Linked DNA regions of Drosophila melanogaster. The protein of the gene in region 1 purifies or fractionates together with the protein of each later gene. This does not show direct contact. Each region holds a gene or a part of one and is shown in the gene's direction. Other genes may lie near its edges.

Region 1 (5,215 bases):
ATTACTTGTAAAGTAAAATCGTATATGTATTAGATTCGCTGCAATGTATGTAATTGGTAGAAGAAACCGTCTCCGATCATAGAAAGTATATGTATGTAATAGGAACGCATCGATCCCATTTTATACTCACATGTTTCCAAATGTTTACACGCTTGTTCTAACGACCACGAACCGCCCAAAAACTGCCAAAAACAATTTTAACCAAATACCTACAAATCGTTCAAAACTGTAACGCCCATATCAATTTAAACACACATAAACCCTATGTAGTATATACATACATATGTATGTGTCTAGATTAGAAAGAAACACCCATCCGAGTTGATACTTCCGTCTGCCCCTATGAATGTTGTAATGTCGGGAAGCACTCCTCTGGCTACCAAAAATTAGTAATGTAAATAAAGGAGAGGTGGGCTAATTTGATTCTAAGGTTATATATTTCTTTTTTATTGCATTTGTTTTCGGTTTGGACATCATATAGTGTCCAAATCCCGAAGTTCATTAACTAGTCTCGGAAACCTTTTTGTTCACCTGTTATGTTCTTTTTTAATTTTTAATAACCCCCTTACTTTACGAGTGAAGAGTATAAAAGAATTATAAATACTTTTTCAAGAATTCAGGTTAATATAATTATTCGATTTTATGATAGAATCTAACGTTCCGCTAACCATTTAATACAGCAAACCATATTTATTTTCAGATCAAAAATGACAACACACGATGAGGCTCAGTCATACTTCTCACGTCTTAATTCAATTTCCGAAAAAATTACCTGCGATCTCAATAAAGTTAAATCTACATACAACCAAGACGCTTGGCTTAAATTGACTTTAAACGAACAGGAAAAAATATTGAATAACCAATTAATAGATCCTGTTATATTTTCTAAGTACTGTCATAAGACTAAAGAAAACTATGCGGCACAGGATCCGTACGAAAATACTGAAGTTAGTAAAAATGATTACCGTAAATTTTGTTTCAGAGACATTGTATATTTATATAACGGCCAAGATTTACACACATATAATTATCAAAACGTTGGTTTAAAAATATTACGCGATGAAAACACCGGAGATTTTCAAGATGAACATTCGTTTCCATTTTCTTATCGAACCAAATCACAAATTAACATAGTATTAAAAGAATTTGATGATATCTGTCTTGTTGAAACTCCATTAGGCGTAAAAAAGGCCATTCATTTAAAATTGAAGACAAAAGATTCAACCAATAAAAAAATACCAATTCTCCACCTTAATTCTAATGATAAAACCGGCGTTAACACAACGGAAAGAAAGATTTCCATTCATGAAAACTTCTCAAAAACCCAAACTGTTTATATTGATGAATGTATTGAATCTAATGAGAAAATGCAACTGCTCGTTAAATGTGGATCGAAAAACAGTGTGTTAAACGACTTGTCTGATTATGAAAACGAATTTAAAGATGCACGTCAAGACGAAAATACAAAACTGTTATCCCCTGAACTAAAAATGCCTAAGGGTTTCGATTTTCTTAGCAATTGGTAAAACCTATTTAAATCTCATAGATAGTCGAAGGAGAGCCGATATTTTAGAACATAATTTCATTTGATTTCAAGGCAAAACACCAAAACATACACATTAATATTAATCGGTCGTAAGTCCAAACTTTATACATTACATTATTAAGGATTCTTTTTTAACATAGACTTAATAAAATAAGTTATGAATTTAATGGATTGCCCAAACCTGTTTCAATTCTCACTTCAATAAGGCATTCAAGCTTTAAAATTTATTAATGCATATGTTATCTCACTGTATTGTTTTAATCCCTTAAATTTCATTTGAATTGTTAGAAATGGTCGAGAGTTATATGAGTTGGAACTTGTTTGAAACAGCTCTGTTTTGAATTAATTTAAATTATATCAGCTAATTTATTTTAATCAATTAATCCTTCTGTTGTGTACCCTCTATCTGACCTCTTCGATGTGAACGGGTCACAGCACTTATTTTAGGCAGTTGTGTAAACTGGGTATTACCTAAGATTGATTAATATCGATTAGTTTAAGAAAATATCGGACATCTACCTAGAAGAGTCTGTCGTGATCCAGGCGAAGTGCGAGTGAGAGCATCGTATAGTTACTTTTTATTTAAATTGCGTGTGTTAAAATGAATTAGCACGAGTAGTGAATGTTTTTGTGTGCGTAATCTTTCGAAAACAAGCGCTTTGTCATTAAAACGAAAAGATTGCCAACAGCCCACCACGGATAGAATGTACGGAGTAATGCAGCTAAATTGAAGTAGAATAATTTTAATGTATGGTTGAAGACGTACTCAGTACGATTAAAAGCGAAACTTTCTGACATAACCTAAGTGTGCATAACCTAAATGGTCGCAAAAACCCAAGCGTTTAGTTTCGGACATACGCATGTGTGTATCAGTGCAGAATAAATTCTGTTCGCTTGTGTATCGTGCATTGGAAAAGTCTATATGTACATATGTTCCAGTCAAGAGTTGCCACGCTTTAAATCTTTTACATAATGACAAAGCAATAGGGAATTTAAATGTGTCGCATTTGCTTTGAGGTTTTCCACACCAACAGTTAAAATTTAGTAATAGTGTAATTAAAAATAAAGTAAGCATTTTGCATATTTGCATTAGTCTATACTCCACATACCTTTCCATTCCGTCTTTAAATTTTGACTAGGTGGCAATATTGCAAGCAGGAATATCTGTATGGGTTTATTTAATACACTAGTAACTGCCGTCCCCATCGTCGAACGTGCGCAGAAATTTATATTCAATTACATCGAATTATAATTATTGTTGAGTCTAATCAGTTTTCGCATTCAAGATTGTTATTAATCCCAGTTTATTTTGTGAAATATGAAAAACTATAATTGATTGTCGAATGTGTGTATGTTTTACAACACATACACACTTTGTGAACTCGTCAAAGTGGCTTGACATGCATACACACAAAAATGCACATATATTTACATATATAGAGAAAATCAACTTCTCGTTCAGTAAAGGCAAAAATTGTTGCAAATATTCGGTGAACTATTAGCGTATACACAAGTGTTCAATTTTACTATAAACGCATATTCTGGCAATAGATATTAATTTCTAATTTCTGTTTGGTAGGTTTTAGTTAGATCTCCATTTTGTGACGTTCTCAGCTTTTCGCTTGTATTTCTACACATAGGGTACAAGACACGCGAATATACTAAGTATTGTACAATGACTTCTCTACATATGCACTAGAGTACTGAAAATGTATTCATACAAATGTATATACATGTATATATCTATCGCATTAGTCTTTTTGCCAATACTTGCATATATACAGGTTGTGTAAATACATTTTAAATTCTAAGTTTATTTGAGCATAATTGCAAGTGCGAAATTAGGAAAGGGAGACATAAAATAGGGTGCTTCCGTCAATGTCTGCCTGCCCAGAGTTGACAAATTCATTTTACTTGTGTACATATGCATATGTATATTTATATACCATTACAGAGTTGTGAATTTAATTGTTTTATTTTTTGACATGCATTCGTTTTTCACACAGGAATTTGTCGTTAATGTGGGTGGGGATTCTGCCGGTTGGGCAGCAGACCTGGTAGGTCAGCGATCGCGATGCATATTTCATTTTTAAAATTCTTTATGTACATACTAAGTATACATGTTTAACTCCTGTCAAATGACTCCCACTCTTATATACCCATATGTATGTCCTCAGACTTTTTGAATCGATTATAAAGCTTAAATTTTTATGATTTCTCCTTCAGAATTTTAACTGATGTTATGCAGTTAAAAATCTGTAAAGAAGATATTGATTAAGCCTACGAAAAGCTGATCAGAATTAAAAAATTTTTTAAGAACAACGAACAATAGAAAAACTAAAAACAAACGTGCACAACGTAGGGGTCACTAGAATCTGCATGCTTATTCTCAACTGTCTAGCTTTTATGTCGAAAACGCTTCCGCTATGTAACATACTTTAGAACAAATCTGGTATACCATATACCATTTTACTCTATTAATAATGTGTATAAAGCATAAACGTATCACGGTGATTAAGTTTATTTATCCTGTGTATATACAAGAAAATAAAAAAAGAACTTAGCAATTTGATTTAGAATGAATATTTTGTAATAAAAATAATAAATGTTTTCTATATTTCTACAGAACACGGAAAGAACAAGGATTCAGATTAAGTCATTCCTTTTCGATTAAATTAAATAACTTTTAAAAATTGCCATAAATGCTTATGATAATGAAGTTAAAGATCAAGTGGATGTTGGAATAGTAAGGAATGCTACTTTTGAAGCTGACAATCAGTTAGAACACTTGAGCACTATGCGTGAAGCCCTTTTTTCCCAAGATGGCTGGGGCTGTCAGCATGTTAACCAGGATACTAATTGGGAAGTTCCCAGTTCGCCAGAACCAGCCAATAAGGATGCACCCGGTCCACCAATGTGGAAGCCAAGCATTAACAATGGTACTGATCTTTGGGAGTCCAATTTGAGAAACGGAGGTCAGCCGGCCGCACAGCAAGTTCCAAAGCCGTCGTGGGGTCATACACCATCCTCTAACTTAGGTGGAACATGGGGTGAGGACGACGATGGCGCCGATAGTAGTAGTGTGTGGACTGGAGGAGCTGTTAGCAACGCGGGATCCGGAGCTGCAGTGGGAGTAAACCAAGCCGGAGTTAATGTCGGTCCAGGCGGTGTTGTTTCGTCTGGCGGACCTCAGTGGGGACAAGGTGTCGTTGGCGTCGGACTTGGATCAACTGGTAGGCCTAATATCTATTAGAATTAATGAAGTTAAGCGCAAACGATCAGATAAAGGCTCTAGCTTTTCCCTCAAAATGTGACTAACAATACATGATAAAAACATAAAGTGTAGTAATTGAAGTTGGAGCCTTATCTGGGGAATTACCTATTCTAAGTTCTACAGAAACTTTTATTTCATTAACCCGAAATACTTTTATATTTCTGCTGTTATTTAAGGAGGTAACGGGTCAAGCAATATAACTGGATCGTCTGGAGTCGCAACAGGTAGTAGCGGAAACTCCAGCAACGCTGGTAACGGTTGGGGAGACCCTCGTGAAATACGCCCTTTGGGAGTTGGTGGCTCCATGGATATTCGAAATGTTGAACATCGCGGCGGTAACGGTTCTGGAGCAACTTCGAGCGATCCACGAGACATTCGCATGATCGATCCGCGTG
Region 2 (5,119 bases), on another chromosome or scaffold:
ATATCAAATACTCAACTTGCAAGACAGTTTTTTTATCTTAAAAAAATTATTTCTTTCTTGCTATTCTCGAAACAGTGTGAGTGCGGAATAAGTAGACAGCTATCCCTCTCATTTGCGTGTGGAATGAATAAAGATTACTAATTCAAATATGGGGCAAGAATTCCAATTCGATCAGAGACCCTGCTCTATTCTCACCTTTTGCAGCAGATCTCGCAGGTGTGCTCCAGTTGATCGGTGTCGTGCTTGGCCAGATGATTGGCCATACGGCGCTCGCTGCTGAAGGTGCGTTCGCACTTGGGGCACGGGAACTTGAGCACCTTGCCGATTTGAGCCACCTTGTTGTGCACCGTCTCGATATGAGTGGCCAAGTAGTCCTGCGAGTTGAGCGACTTCTTGCAAATGGTGCAGCTATGGGATTTTAAAGTCTATGTAGCAACAGACAGAACCCTCGGGCTTCAAACTCACGTAAATAGCTTGGGGTTGATATGTTTGCGGATGTGGTCCATCAGCTTGGAAGCGCGTGTAAAGACTTTGCCGCAGCACTTGATGTAGTACTCGCGCTGGTGCACCTCCAGGAAGTGGGTCTTCAATTCGGATAGGTAGGGAGCACTAAATTCGCACAGGTCGCAGCTTGCACTCATGTAGCTAGCAATGGCCTTCTCGTAGCTCTTGGCCAGCTGAGCACGGGAGCAGCCCTTGGGCTTGCGCTCGAGAACGGCCTGTAGCTCGGACTCCTGCGACTCGGTGGTTGTTCGCTGGTCAGGTGCCTTCCTGCGCCGACGCTTGCCACCATCGTCGAGCAGATCTGCAAGCTCCTGCTGCAGCGATATCGGACCCTGATCCTTGGAGGAACGTGCCGAGGTTTTGCGCTTGGGCTTCATTTTCGATTTCAGACGGACCAGGGGTTCATCTGCAATGGAACAGGAACTTAGTTACGGCTAATCCTTGGGAAACATTAAGATAATAACCATCTGAGGAGTCAGATTCAGATTCCGGCTGCCCCTCGGTCACCTCCGGTTCGCTATCACTAGCTTGCAGGCAGGGCTTCTCGTCCTCCTCCTCCTCGCAGGGCAGCTGCTCCTTGATCGGTTCCCTGACTTCCACACTGTCCACATTCACGTCCAGCACGCTTCCCAGCAGACTAAGGTTGTGCAGGTCCAACGGTTTCTCGTCCATGTCGCCAGCCGCCAGCGGCAGTTCGTCGATGTTGACGTCCACGTCCACACCGCCCGTCCACTTCATGGCCGCACAGTCGACGTCCACGGTAAGGAACTCCTTCTTGAGTGAGCACTGCTTCTGCTCCACCAGCTGCCAGAAGCCATTGAAGTCCTCCAGATGCTCACAGCACTCGGTACAGACGCTGGTCGAGATGCCGTCGTCTGGTAGGATCTGCATGGGATGGCTTATTGGAATTGTTTTGATACCATTGGTATTTGCCAGATACACTCACCTCCAGCTGCAGAAACTTCGCAATCATCTTGACCAGGCGCGTCTCCGCAAGCGTATCGTCCGTCTCAAAGAGGAAGACAGCGCTTCCGGGACTAAGACATCGCAGGCAAAGGCGACAAATCATTTCGCGCGAACAGAACCACAACGCAAAGTCAAATAAATAAAAAATTTAAACAGTTTTTCGTTGTAAACAACATAATTCACCTATCGTGAATCGATAACAGAATCCAATTGTGAATGGCAAAACTTCATCTCAGGAGTTTTTTGCGGGGTGGCCACCCTGATCGTTGAGTATTTCTCTTTAATTTCTCTTACAATTTATGGTCTACGTTTTTAATTGTCTGCAAAATACGCTGTAAACGATTATCCATTAATTAAAAATCGAAAATATGAAACTTAATATATCGCTGGATACACATCAAAACGATGGCATTCTGCGGACGGTCAGGCAGCACGCCAATCGACCCACACAACTCTGGCAACGCTTGCCGTAAAATGGCAAAAAAATAATACATACGATTTAAAACTAATGGACAATTACGTATTACGTGAAAAGAACGCAACGCAAATAATCAAAACAAATAAGAAACGCAACTCGTGTGCGTGTGTAGTGTGTGTGCAGAGCTAAAACCTAGCGAAGGAAAGGCAAAAACCCGTGGAAAAAGCGAATTCAAACGGGTTTACTCGAAGCCTCCTCACCCGATACCATTTTCCACCTACACTTGCAAAAAAGCGACAGCGCGCGAGAGGGACGGCGCGAGTGAGCGGAGAGTGGGAGAGCGCAGTGCAAGTGAGTGGGAGCGAGAGCGCTGACAAAGCCAGCGCAACATAGCGAAAATCGCAACCAAATCGAAATCGAAATTCAACCAAATCGAAGATTCTGGCGAACAAAGGCGACTAACAACAACAACTGCAGCAGCGGCACGTCTCGTCTTGGTTGCGCTCTCTTTTGTTTTCGTCCCGTGTTTTAACAAGCGGCGAAACGGGCGCTGAGTAAGCGCCAGAAAGAGTGCAAAAAAAAGGCGAAGGAAAGAAAGAAGCCAAGGAGCAACGAACTGTGTTTGCGGTGTGTGCTCTGCGTGCGAAAGGGTAAGCTCTATGGTCTCTCATGCTCTCGCTCTGGAAGTAGGCCGGAACCGAGATTTGTTTGCTAAATTATGTTTAATTGCACAGCGGGTTTGTAAATCTGTGATTTTGTTTGTAGAAAATACGCATTGTATCAAAGAAATATTTTTGTCGGTTCTGTCAAATTCGACGTGTGGGAGTGGGAGGGAAGTTCAGCTAGTCATGTTGTCCCGCTCTATATCGCAAACAGCGTTGCATTTGTCGTCGGCAGGTCATCGTGGTCCGTTTTCTCTTTTTGTCGGCATCGATGCATAGAGTCCGTGTTAATTTCCGTTTAATCGCTAAATAGCACGCTCTCTAATTGTTTAATAATTGCCAGGCGACTGCCACCCCCGGAATTAGTTTCACTCGGCGGTCTGGCTGGATCCCAACGGACCAGGTGGCAACGCCGCGCTCCACACCACTCACGCACGCAATACATTCGAAAAGTGAGAAGTGGTAGAGGAAGAACTCGAGGAAGAAGAATTAGCGGCAAACTTTATGTTGGACGGTGAAAAGCAGAATCAAAAGATATCAATTTCCGCGAAGTTAACAGTTAAATAACCAACATACAGGCGGCCAAGTGTGCCAGCAGACCGCGAAACATTCGAAGTAAACAAATTCAAGCGTTTTCCATTCAGTTTATCATCGCTGCCCAACAAACGAAACTCCCCGAGTGTATTGCTGTGTGCGTGCGTGCTGTTTAAACGGTATATTTTACTCGTCTCTCCTCTTTGTTTGCCTTTGCCAGCCACTGTGCCATGCAAAATTAATAAAAGGATACGGCTGTAAAACAAAAGGTGGTCAAAAAAAAAAATTGCACTCGTCGATTAAATAATAACTATCAAATCCTCTCGGTTTCTGCGAACGTAAGTGTGTGTGTGTGCGTGATGTGTGCGCCTGTGCCTGCGTGGTGTTAGTGTGCGTTGTGCTTGTGAATGGTTGTTATTACAAAAAGGAGACATAGAATTGTTGCCAAGCGTTTAGATTGTCTTGTACTCCCCCCACTTGCATCTGTCAAATTGGTTACATTTTAAATGCCGGCCTTTGTTGTTGTCGCTCTTGTTGCGAGGATTTTACTGGCCCCGTTTTTTCTATTGTTGCTGTAGTTGTCAGCCATTGTTCGGCCGCCCCTTCACGCCCCCTGCCGCAATTATTACAAGACGCCACCGCAAAAAATTCTTTCAATGCGTTGCCGCTTCTGCCGCTGCTGGCGCTGGTGTGTGTGTGTGGGTAAATCTATCTAGCTGTCCCGCTTCCGCTGTCACCCGCCCAAGGCAGCCTCTCAGTTGCGTGTGCTGCGAGGCACTGGCTGTCCTGCTCGCACCAAACATTGCCTGCATTCAGTGTCGGATCAAAGGGGGGAGCGAAACTGGGAAATAGTTGCCCCAAACGTTTTCGTAATAAACGCAATATCAACAAAATACCAAATGATTCTACAAACAGTTTCGAATGGTAGTAGTCGAATGGAATTACACTCTAGTTGTTACTTTAACGAAGCATTAAGAACTTGAACGTATTTCGCAACAGCATGTGTTGGAAAACTACCAAGAAACTTCTTTAGTTTCAGTGGAAATGAAATATCAAAAGCATTTCTACTAAAACTCGGTTTAGTTGAAACCCATACCTATTATTGTTTGAAGAGGTTATTTTCCAAATTATTTGCAATATCTTTCTAAGAAGAACCAATTTTCGCTACAGATCCACCTCTGTAAGCGTTAGTGGTGCGGATCGGTTGGGGGTGGCTAAATAGAGGAGTTCCCGGACACACAATAACCAGCGTGTTGAAAACAATTTGTCGGGAGCACCACCCACTTGCAACTGACTAGCCTCGCCTCGCTACGCCTGCACCTATACTCAATTAAATGCCTATCTACGCTTTTGTATTTTGCAGCCCACCAGAAAGACTGAAACAAGGAGCTTCGGCCCAAAAGCGATCCCAGCTCCTTAAACTCATTCTCGTCAAGAACCACAGCCACATCCTAGCCCATCCTCCAGCGCAGCGGGAAGACGAGGAGCGCGGCGGTGGCGAGAAGGAAGCTAACGCTAATGAGGATCTATTGGCAGCATGAGTACACTGGGGGGAAGTAGGGGAGAGCGAAATGCCAAGCCCAAATTCACAGCGTTAGATATAAATCGCATGTACAAGAATAGCCGCGTAAGTAGCGAGCCCCTAGACCTAGATCTAGATCTACATCTAGATCTTGATAGATCCAAACCTATCTGATCGCCAACTTGTTCTTATTGTTTGCAGGGCGAGTCAAGTGAACCATCTGCACAAAAGAATCAAGTGCCACGTAAACATGGAATGCAAATCTTGGGCAAAGTGCCGTCCGCTAGGCGACCACCAGCCAATTTGCCATCCCTGAAGGCCGAGACCCACACCAGCAGCAACAACAATCTCTTAGTCTCAGTCGAAGGTGGGTGTTCTACGATTTTATCTTATTGAAAGCGTGTGTACTAAGATGTACCTTTAACTGGGTGAATTTTCCATTTTAGGAGCCACATCTGGTGGGGCGGGCGCAGGCGGAGCAGCGGGATCTGGCGCGGCAGGAACCAACACTAG
Region 3 (7,482 bases), on another chromosome or scaffold:
CTCCTGCTAATCGAAATGCTGACCAAGTTCATCGTTTGCTGCTACGAAGCGCTGTGGACATACCTATACCAAGGGGCTACGCCGGGCAAGTCGCTGATGAAGATACGCATATACTATGTGGAAGCAGTGATGCCGCTTCAGGGGCCGCCCCTTCCACAGTTCGTCCTCCAGCCGCAGAGGGAGCCGATGAGGGCTCTGCTTTATCCGCCACAGACTCCCTCGCTGATGCGCTCCTTCGCCCGCGCGCTGATCAAGAACCTGGGGATGACCCTGCTCTTCCCCATTTGCGTGTTGATGGTCTTCTTCAAGAACAATCGCACCGCCTACGACGTCCTAACCAAAACGATTGTGGTGGAGAGCAATTCCATTGCCGTGTTCCGCACCCAAGGGCAAGCGCAGCGCAATAATCGCTGAGGACGGCACTTAAACCAGCCAAAGTGTGTAGGAATGGCGCACTCCTATGCACTTCCTATGCACATATAAATAGACTTGTTAATGATAAATTTAATGTCGTTATGTACTGCTGTCGTGTGAAATAAAATAAAATATCACATGAATACCTCAGAATCTGCACGATAATCAAACATAACCAGTAATCCCAATGATCAGTAGAGCTTCCGATATTCCTGTAGAGCTACTCTTCACTGGTACTAGAAACTGAATGATAATGAAGTTCTGATACTGAAATGGTGTGCAGGCGGTGATGTTTCGTTTATTGGCTCAAAGCTTTAGTTTCGTTTATTGGCTCACTTCACATTGACGTTCTTCAGGGTTTGGGCCACCACGTTGCCCTTGCCAGGAACATGGAGAGCGGCGCCCTTGTAGCAGGCAACCAGTTCGCCGTTGGTCTTCAGATCCGGGGCGCACGACTCAAAGATCTTCTTCTTGGGGTTGAGCTGGGCGTCTGGCTGGCGCGGATAGCCCTCGCAGTGAACCAGGTCGCCGGGAACAGCTCCGGCGGGCGGACTGAGCACTTCCACTTTTTCCGGTGTAGATGCGCACATGACCATAGCCTCCGAGGTGACGCCGCGCATTTTGGCCGGCTTCAGGTTACACATGACCACTACCAGACGGTTCTGCATCTCTTCCAGGGGCACGAACTTCACCAGACCGGACACCACGGTGCGTGGAGCCGCCTCGCCGCAGTCGATCTTCTCCAGATACAAGCTGTCGGCGTCGGGATGGCGACCCACCTCCACAATCTTGCCCACGCGTAAATCCAGGCGACCGACGTCGACGGGAGCCTCCGGAGCGGCGGCGGGCTTCTCGGCGGCCGGTTTCTTCTCCTTGGACTTCTTTTCCTTGGGCTCCTTGGCCGGCTTAGGAGCCGGGGCAGCGGGTGCAGCGGTAGCAGGTCCAGCCTCTGCCGGCATAACTACTGGGGCCGCACTGGTGCAGAAACCCCGGGCTCCAGGCACCGGAATCTGTTTCTTGCCATTTCGCAGCTCCAGCTGCACCAGCTGGGCCAAAGCCGCCTCAACTTCCTTGGCCAGTGCAGCGTTCTCCTTGATCAGCTCCTGCTTCTGGCGCTCCACAAGTTGCTGCTGGATGCCGGAAATCTGGGGGGCAGTAGGTTATCGAGTGTTCGCAGGCGCTGGCAGGCGGAAATACTTGCCTCGGCTTCAATGGAGTTGATCAGCGCCTCGGCGCGCTCGTTGTTGCTTGCAATCTGCTGCAGATCGGCCATTGTTCTTTTGTTTCTCGCGAATTTTGAGCAATTCTGGCCGTAATTTTTACATGCGGATCCCACAGTCGTGGCAGCTCTACGCAGCATTGCAGTGCTTCTTCTTGCCACGCACAGTGGCGTCGCGCAGCGTTGGACAGGTAGTTCGTTGGCGGAGAAGCGAGAGTATTTTTACATCAGCCCTGCCAGGGTCACTCTAATCGGTGCAACGCAAAAACGGCTGGCAGTTTTGAGCGAAATTTGTTAAAAAATAAACAATAAAAAGTCGCGTGGGCATCGGCGTGCGGCAGATGGATTACGTGTATTGCGGCACCGACCCCATCGGGGCCTCCGAAGACATACTAAGTGGGTCAAGGGGTCGCTTTGGGGCCAACGCTCACCCACACGCACACACACACGCAAGCCAGCTAAAGCTTTCTCCTTTGTTTTCTGTTTACTTTTTGAAAAGGTGTTTATGACGCGGGATCTGCGCCGGGAAACGGGCACTTTTCGCCCAGCTTCAATGGATTCAACATCGGCACCACCGATCCGGAATATGTGGAGCTTGTGCCCGTGCTTGCCGACGGCGGGGAGCACTTCGGCGTTTCCAGCGTGGCGTTCGACGACTACGAAGAGCTGCTGTGGATGGGCAACCAGGGCGTGAGTTCCTCGTCCAGCCTGCCAGGCTTACTAATCCTGAATCTTCGCTCCTTCCCGCAGGGCCACGTCACATCGTACTACACAAACTCCATGCAGAAGTACACATCCTTTCAGGTCCACGCCACCGACATTGTGCGCGACATCTCCACCCTGGACTCCGGAGTGCTGGCGCTCACGCAGACCTCGCTGCGTCATCAGATCCGCAGGGGTCTGCCCAAGTTTACCTTCAAGTAAGCCACCGCGCTGGCACAAAGATTCCCCGAAAGTGAGGTTTCAATTTCTTGCAGATCGAACAACATGAAGGAGATGGTGAGCATGCTGCAGCTATCACCGCATCGTCTGGTCATGGCCGGACTGCAGGACGAGCTTATCGACTTCGACCTGCGCACGCTCAAGGAAACCCGCATAGAGCATGTGGGTGCCGGCGGATGCACGGTGCTACGCAAGAATTCACGTTATCTGTTTGCCGGCGACCAGCTGGGAACGGTAACGTTGCGCGACCTGAACAGCCTGAGTGTTCAGCACACAATCAAGACGCACACCAACATCCTTTCGGACTTCAGTGTCCAGGGAAATCTGCTAATCTCTTGCGGCTACAGCGGAAGGCAAAATAACCTGGCCATCGACCGCTTCCTAATGGTCTACGATCTGCGCATGCTGCGCCTGATCGCGCCCATTCAAGTGATGATTGATCCGCAGATGTTGAAGTTCCTGCCATCGCTGACATCCCAACTGGCCGTCGTGTCCAGCTACGGCCAGGTTCAGCTGGTGGACACTGTGGAGCTCAGCGAGCCGCGAGTATCCATGTACCAGATCAACACCAACGGCAGCCAGTGCCTCAGCTTCGACATTAGCTCCTCTTCACAGGCCATGGCATTTGGGGACCAGTCGGGCCACATCAACATGATTGCCGCTGTACAAACGCCTCAGCCGCAGTTCAATCTCTACTCGCGAAGCACAGAGTTTGCGGACGTGGTGCCACAGCTGCCGATGGTCTCCATTACGGACACCAACTTTCCGCTATCGTCGGTCATGCTACCGCACTTGACGACGGGCACACAATGGTTCTCAGATTGGCCGGAGGAACTGCTGCGCTACCGCTACCACAGGCCCAAGACCATTGATCCCGAAGTGCTGAGCAACATGAAAATGCAGGGACCGATTGGATACTCGCCAAACCCACGCACCGCCCGTCGTAATCAAATTCCGTACGTGATTGAGCAGGGCGGCGTGTGCAGTCCGAACGGAAATGGAACTGCGGCGGCGACCAAGGCGGAGAACGGTGTGAAAATCATTCCACGGCGGTATCGCAAAGTCGAGCTGAAGTACACGAAGCTGGGCACCCAGGACTTTGACTTTGACCAGCATAATCAAACATGTTTCGCGGGGCTGGAGGCAACGCTACCGAACTCCTACTGCAATGCTATGCTACAGATTTTGTATTTCACCGACGCGCTTCGCGTGAAGCTGCTGGAGCATTCGTGCATCAAGGAGTTTTGCCTGTCCTGCGAACTAGGGTTCCTCTTCAACATGCTGGATAAAAGTACCGGTTAGTTTGCTTGTGTAACTTAACTATCCTTAGTTTAAGTATTTATGTGTGCTCCTTTCAGCTTCTTCACCTTGCCAGGCCAGCAATTTCCTGCGATCTTTCCGCACTGTGCCAGAGGCCTCGGCACTGGGATTGATTCTCACCGACCGCTCATCGAACGTCAATCTAATATCGCTGATACAGGCAAGTAATACCATGGTTTCCTAAGCAGATATTTAATTTATGCACACTCTCAGAACTGGAACCGATTCATTTTGCATCAAATGCATTACGAAATATTCGATTCTAGCAAGAACGCATCCACCTACAGCGGATCTGTGCAAACATCAACGAACGGTAACCACAGCCGAGTTTATCCTTTACAAATAAGTGAAACTTCGATTTATTTTGCAGCGGAAAACGCGGGCTCTTCAGAAACAAGTGGCTCCTCGGACCTTTACGATTCCATAAGTGGTGGGCAGGTGAATTAATGGTTTAACTAACACTCTAATCATATGTACGTATATGAACAGATGAGAACTCCAAGGAGGACGATCGGGAACGCAGTAAGATCAACGCAGAAACTGACATCAGTAAGATCTTTGGGACCAAGCAAATCTGTATAAACCGCTGCATCAAATGCCAAGAAGAGAAGATAAAGGAAAGCATTCTACTTGCCTGCAATTTGTCGTATCCCAACCACATCAAAGATAGTGATCAGTATTTCAACTTTGGCACCATTTTGAAGCGATCTCTCAGCTCCGAGAAGAGTATTCAGGCCTTCTGCGAGAGATGTAAGAAGTTTTCGCCAACCAATCAGAGCGTGAAGGTCGGGAGCTAACTTTATAGTGAACCAAGCAAGAAGTTACATATGTAATGCATCTGAATTTCAGGTGACTTCGCTTCCGCAAATTCTGTCCATTAACTGTGGCCTCAACAACGAAAAAGACATTACCTTCCTGAAGCGCCAGCTCAATCGCTGCAGCGAAAAGACGACTGTTGATGCGGCCGCTTCCTTGAGCACAAGCAAGCCGTGTCGATATGGAGCCAACTGTTCGCGAAGTGACTGCCATTTCATGCATCCGGATCGGTGAGTTACGACGAATCGAAACTGAATCAGTCGTCTTATGCATATTGTTGTACCTACTGTGCAGAAAATCTCCATCGCACACAAGCCAACCGAATGCTGTCAACAATTCTCCCAATGGACGCCAAAAGTCCTGGTTTCCCCTTACATTTACTATGGGCATCAATGACCAAGGTGAGGTGCAGGTGCAAACTCAATCAGATGCAAGCAGTGGCAAATCGGAACAGGAGGAGGAAACGGAAAAGCCACCAACAAAGGGCTTGGACAACAATCGGATGTACGCGCTGCATGCCGTGGTGTGCCAAGTCGATGATGGTACCCAAAAGAACTTGGTATCGTTGATAAATGTGCAGCGGCCATACCACACCATGAAACTGGCTGAATCTGCAGATGACCCTCAGAGTCAATGGTATATTTTTAATGATTTTAGGTAAGTTAGATCTCTATTGTGAATGGCCTTCGATTAATATTGCTCATATATCGCTCAACAGCATATCGCCCGTTTCGCCACAAGAATCGGTATGGTTCACATTGGATTGGAAAGTTCCTTGCATACTCTTCTACAGACACGTAGAGGATGACTCTGAGTCTGCTAGTACTACTAGCTCGACCGTCACGGAAAGTGAAGAAACCATTCCATCAGAGAGCAGCAGCGGCTCGCCAACAAATCTATCCAACCCTTTTCTAGAGGTTAATAGTTTAATATAGCATTGAGTCTGCTGAATGCTAATCTGAATCTTAATCCTACCAGGAAATTGTGAGTCCTATGCTAGGCAACTTAAGTGCAGACGCCACGCTGCAGCCCCTGCAGTCAGATGAAATGCCGCAGTCGGGTGATCTGGTCGCAATGGATGCCGAGTTCGTTACCCTAAATCCAGAGGAAAATGAGATTCGCCCGGATGGCAAAACGGCGACCATTAAGCCATGCCACATGAGTGTGGCCCGGATTTCATGTATACGAGGGTAATTCATTAACTGAAACTTAAAAATATTCATCTCGATAAGCACGGGTATGAATTCTTTACAGACAAGGCCCGGCTGAAGGAGTTCCATTCATGGACGATTACATATCCACCCAGGAGAAGGTCGTGGACTACCTAACTCAGTTCTCGGGAATCAAGCCTGGCGACTTGGACGCTAACTTCAGCAAAAAGCGACTGACTGCCTTGAAGTACTCATACCAGAAATTAAAATACCTCGTTGACGTAGGAGTAATATTTGTCGGACATGGTCTGAAGAACGACTTTAGGTGGGATGCCCTGCTTTGTAAGGAACCAATAGACCACTAAACTTCCATGTGATTGCAGGGTCATAAACATCTATGTACCGTCGGAGCAGATAATAGATACGGTGCACCTGTTTCACATGCCACATCATCGCATGGTTTCCCTAAGATTTCTAGCCTGGCATTTCTTGGGTTTGTATAGGGGTTTTCTTCGATTTGGAATTGTATCTAATTGGGTTTTCCTAATGCCAAAGGTACTAAGATTCAGTCCGAGACGCACGACTCCATCGAAGATGCACGGACCACTCTGCAGCTCTACAAGCACTATTTGAAGCTGCAGGAGGAGAAGAAGTTTGCCAACGCTCTCAAGAATCTTTACGAACGCGGAAAGCAGCTGCAGTGGAAGGTTCCAGAGGACTGATTCGTCGCCAAACCCGATGCCAATTCGACGAAACTCATAATCAACGTTATCGTCAGTACAAACGCTACACCGATCTGAAAAAATCCCGGCTTCTCCCAATTTTATTATGTTTTAATGCGTTGCTATTTGCTACGAAGCTCCTGGTATTTCATGTTGTATTTGTCTATCTTTATAACAAAATCAAAACAAAGCATAAAAGTTGTATTTCTTATCAGTGATGCTTTATTGATCGTTGATGCGAATCTAAGTTGCTTATCAAATCCACAATCGGGCTAATAGGCAAAAGCGGGCAACAGATGTGTTCAGGGATCGTGCACGTCAATCGATTCAATTCCTTTGAAATTCTCATTCGCCCTCCCCTATCACCAGCGGCGTTTGTGAATTTTTGAGATGCTGTCGCCAATTTGATGAATAACCTGATGTTGGACTACTGCGCACCTACTTATAAATACCACGACGAGCAAGTCAAGCCAGTTAGTTGTTAGAGCTCACCATTCACTCAGGGAACATAGATGACAATGCATTTGCTTGGACTTCTCGTGCCGATCGCTTGCGCTGTTTTGTGCGTTGGTGAAAAATCCCTTTACCATGGTCTCGCCCAAACGGAGACTAATCGACGATTCCATTGCTCCCTCAGCTGCCGATCTCCAGCGGACATACGACGGACATGATGGGCCTCACGTTTTCGGAACACCCGGCAATCAAGTCTACATTCGGGGGCAGAACGATGGCGTATACAAGGTGCCAGGAGTAGGTGGTCAGTTCCATCACGCATCGTCGCCAGCAGATCACGTCTATACGGATGAGCAGGGGATCACGTATGTGCACAAAAAAGACGCTGGAGGACCAGGTGGCTAAGAATCATGGTTCGAGGCAGTGCATAAATCTTATTATGGAT

Evidence for each region. The genes of interacting proteins can lie anywhere in the genome.
Region 2: the proteins of gw (region 1) and nocte purify together in Drosophila melanogaster (affinity purification with mass spectrometry, with the first as the bait; one large-scale study listed by BioGRID). This does not show direct contact.
Region 3: the proteins of gw (region 1) and PAN2 purify together in Drosophila melanogaster (affinity purification with western blotting, with the first as the bait; one study listed by BioGRID). This does not show direct contact.

The regions. Positions count from the first base shown.
Region 1 is NC_004353.4:657,466-662,680, reverse strand, and holds the start of gw (gawky), read left to right. Parts: upstream 1-2,072; 5' UTR 2,073-2,252; intron 2,253-2,697; exon of another isoform or gene 2,698-3,121; intron 3,122-4,172; 5' UTR 4,173-4,343; coding exon 4,344-4,779; intron 4,780-4,996; coding exon 4,997-5,215. Other genes in the region: CG46466 (uncharacterized protein), read left to right, coding at 708-1,526. UniProt on the Drosophila melanogaster protein: Required for gene silencing mediated by micro-RNAs (miRNAs). Silences both polyadenylated and deadenylated mRNAs. Required for miRNA-mediated translational repression and mRNA decay. Not required for miRNA target recognition.
Region 2 is NC_004354.4:10,471,472-10,476,590, reverse strand, and holds the start of nocte (no circadian temperature entrainment), read left to right. Parts: upstream 1-1,915; 5' UTR 1,916-2,538; exon of another isoform or gene 2,539-2,653; intron 2,654-3,003; exon of another isoform or gene 3,004-3,422; intron 3,423-4,447; 5' UTR 4,448-4,621; coding exon 4,622-4,711; intron 4,712-4,807; coding exon 4,808-4,973; intron 4,974-5,052; coding exon 5,053-5,119. Other genes in the region: CG2889 (uncharacterized protein), read right to left, coding at 196-408, 466-910, 969-1,389, 1,451-1,573.
Region 3 is NT_033778.4:8,926,326-8,933,807, forward strand, and holds PAN2 (Poly(A)-binding protein-dependent poly(A) ribonuclease 2), read left to right. Parts: upstream 1-1,843; 5' UTR 1,844-1,974; coding exon 1,975-2,029; intron 2,030-2,132; coding exon 2,133-2,323; intron 2,324-2,383; coding exon 2,384-2,553; intron 2,554-2,610; coding exon 2,611-3,872; intron 3,873-3,933; coding exon 3,934-4,055; intron 4,056-4,108; coding exon 4,109-4,208; intron 4,209-4,265; coding exon 4,266-4,325; intron 4,326-4,384; coding exon 4,385-4,680; intron 4,681-4,744; coding exon 4,745-4,941; intron 4,942-5,005; coding exon 5,006-5,368; intron 5,369-5,429; coding exon 5,430-5,628; intron 5,629-5,689; coding exon 5,690-5,901; intron 5,902-5,965; coding exon 5,966-6,187; intron 6,188-6,245; coding exon 6,246-6,355; intron 6,356-6,417; coding exon 6,418-6,584; 3' UTR 6,585-6,778; downstream 6,779-7,482. Other genes in the region: CG8237 (uncharacterized protein), read left to right, coding at 1-414; AIMP1 (aaRS-interacting multifunctional protein 1), read right to left, coding at 747-1,559, 1,616-1,774. UniProt on the Drosophila melanogaster protein: Catalytic subunit of the poly(A)-nuclease (PAN) deadenylation complex, one of two cytoplasmic mRNA deadenylases involved in general and miRNA-mediated mRNA turnover.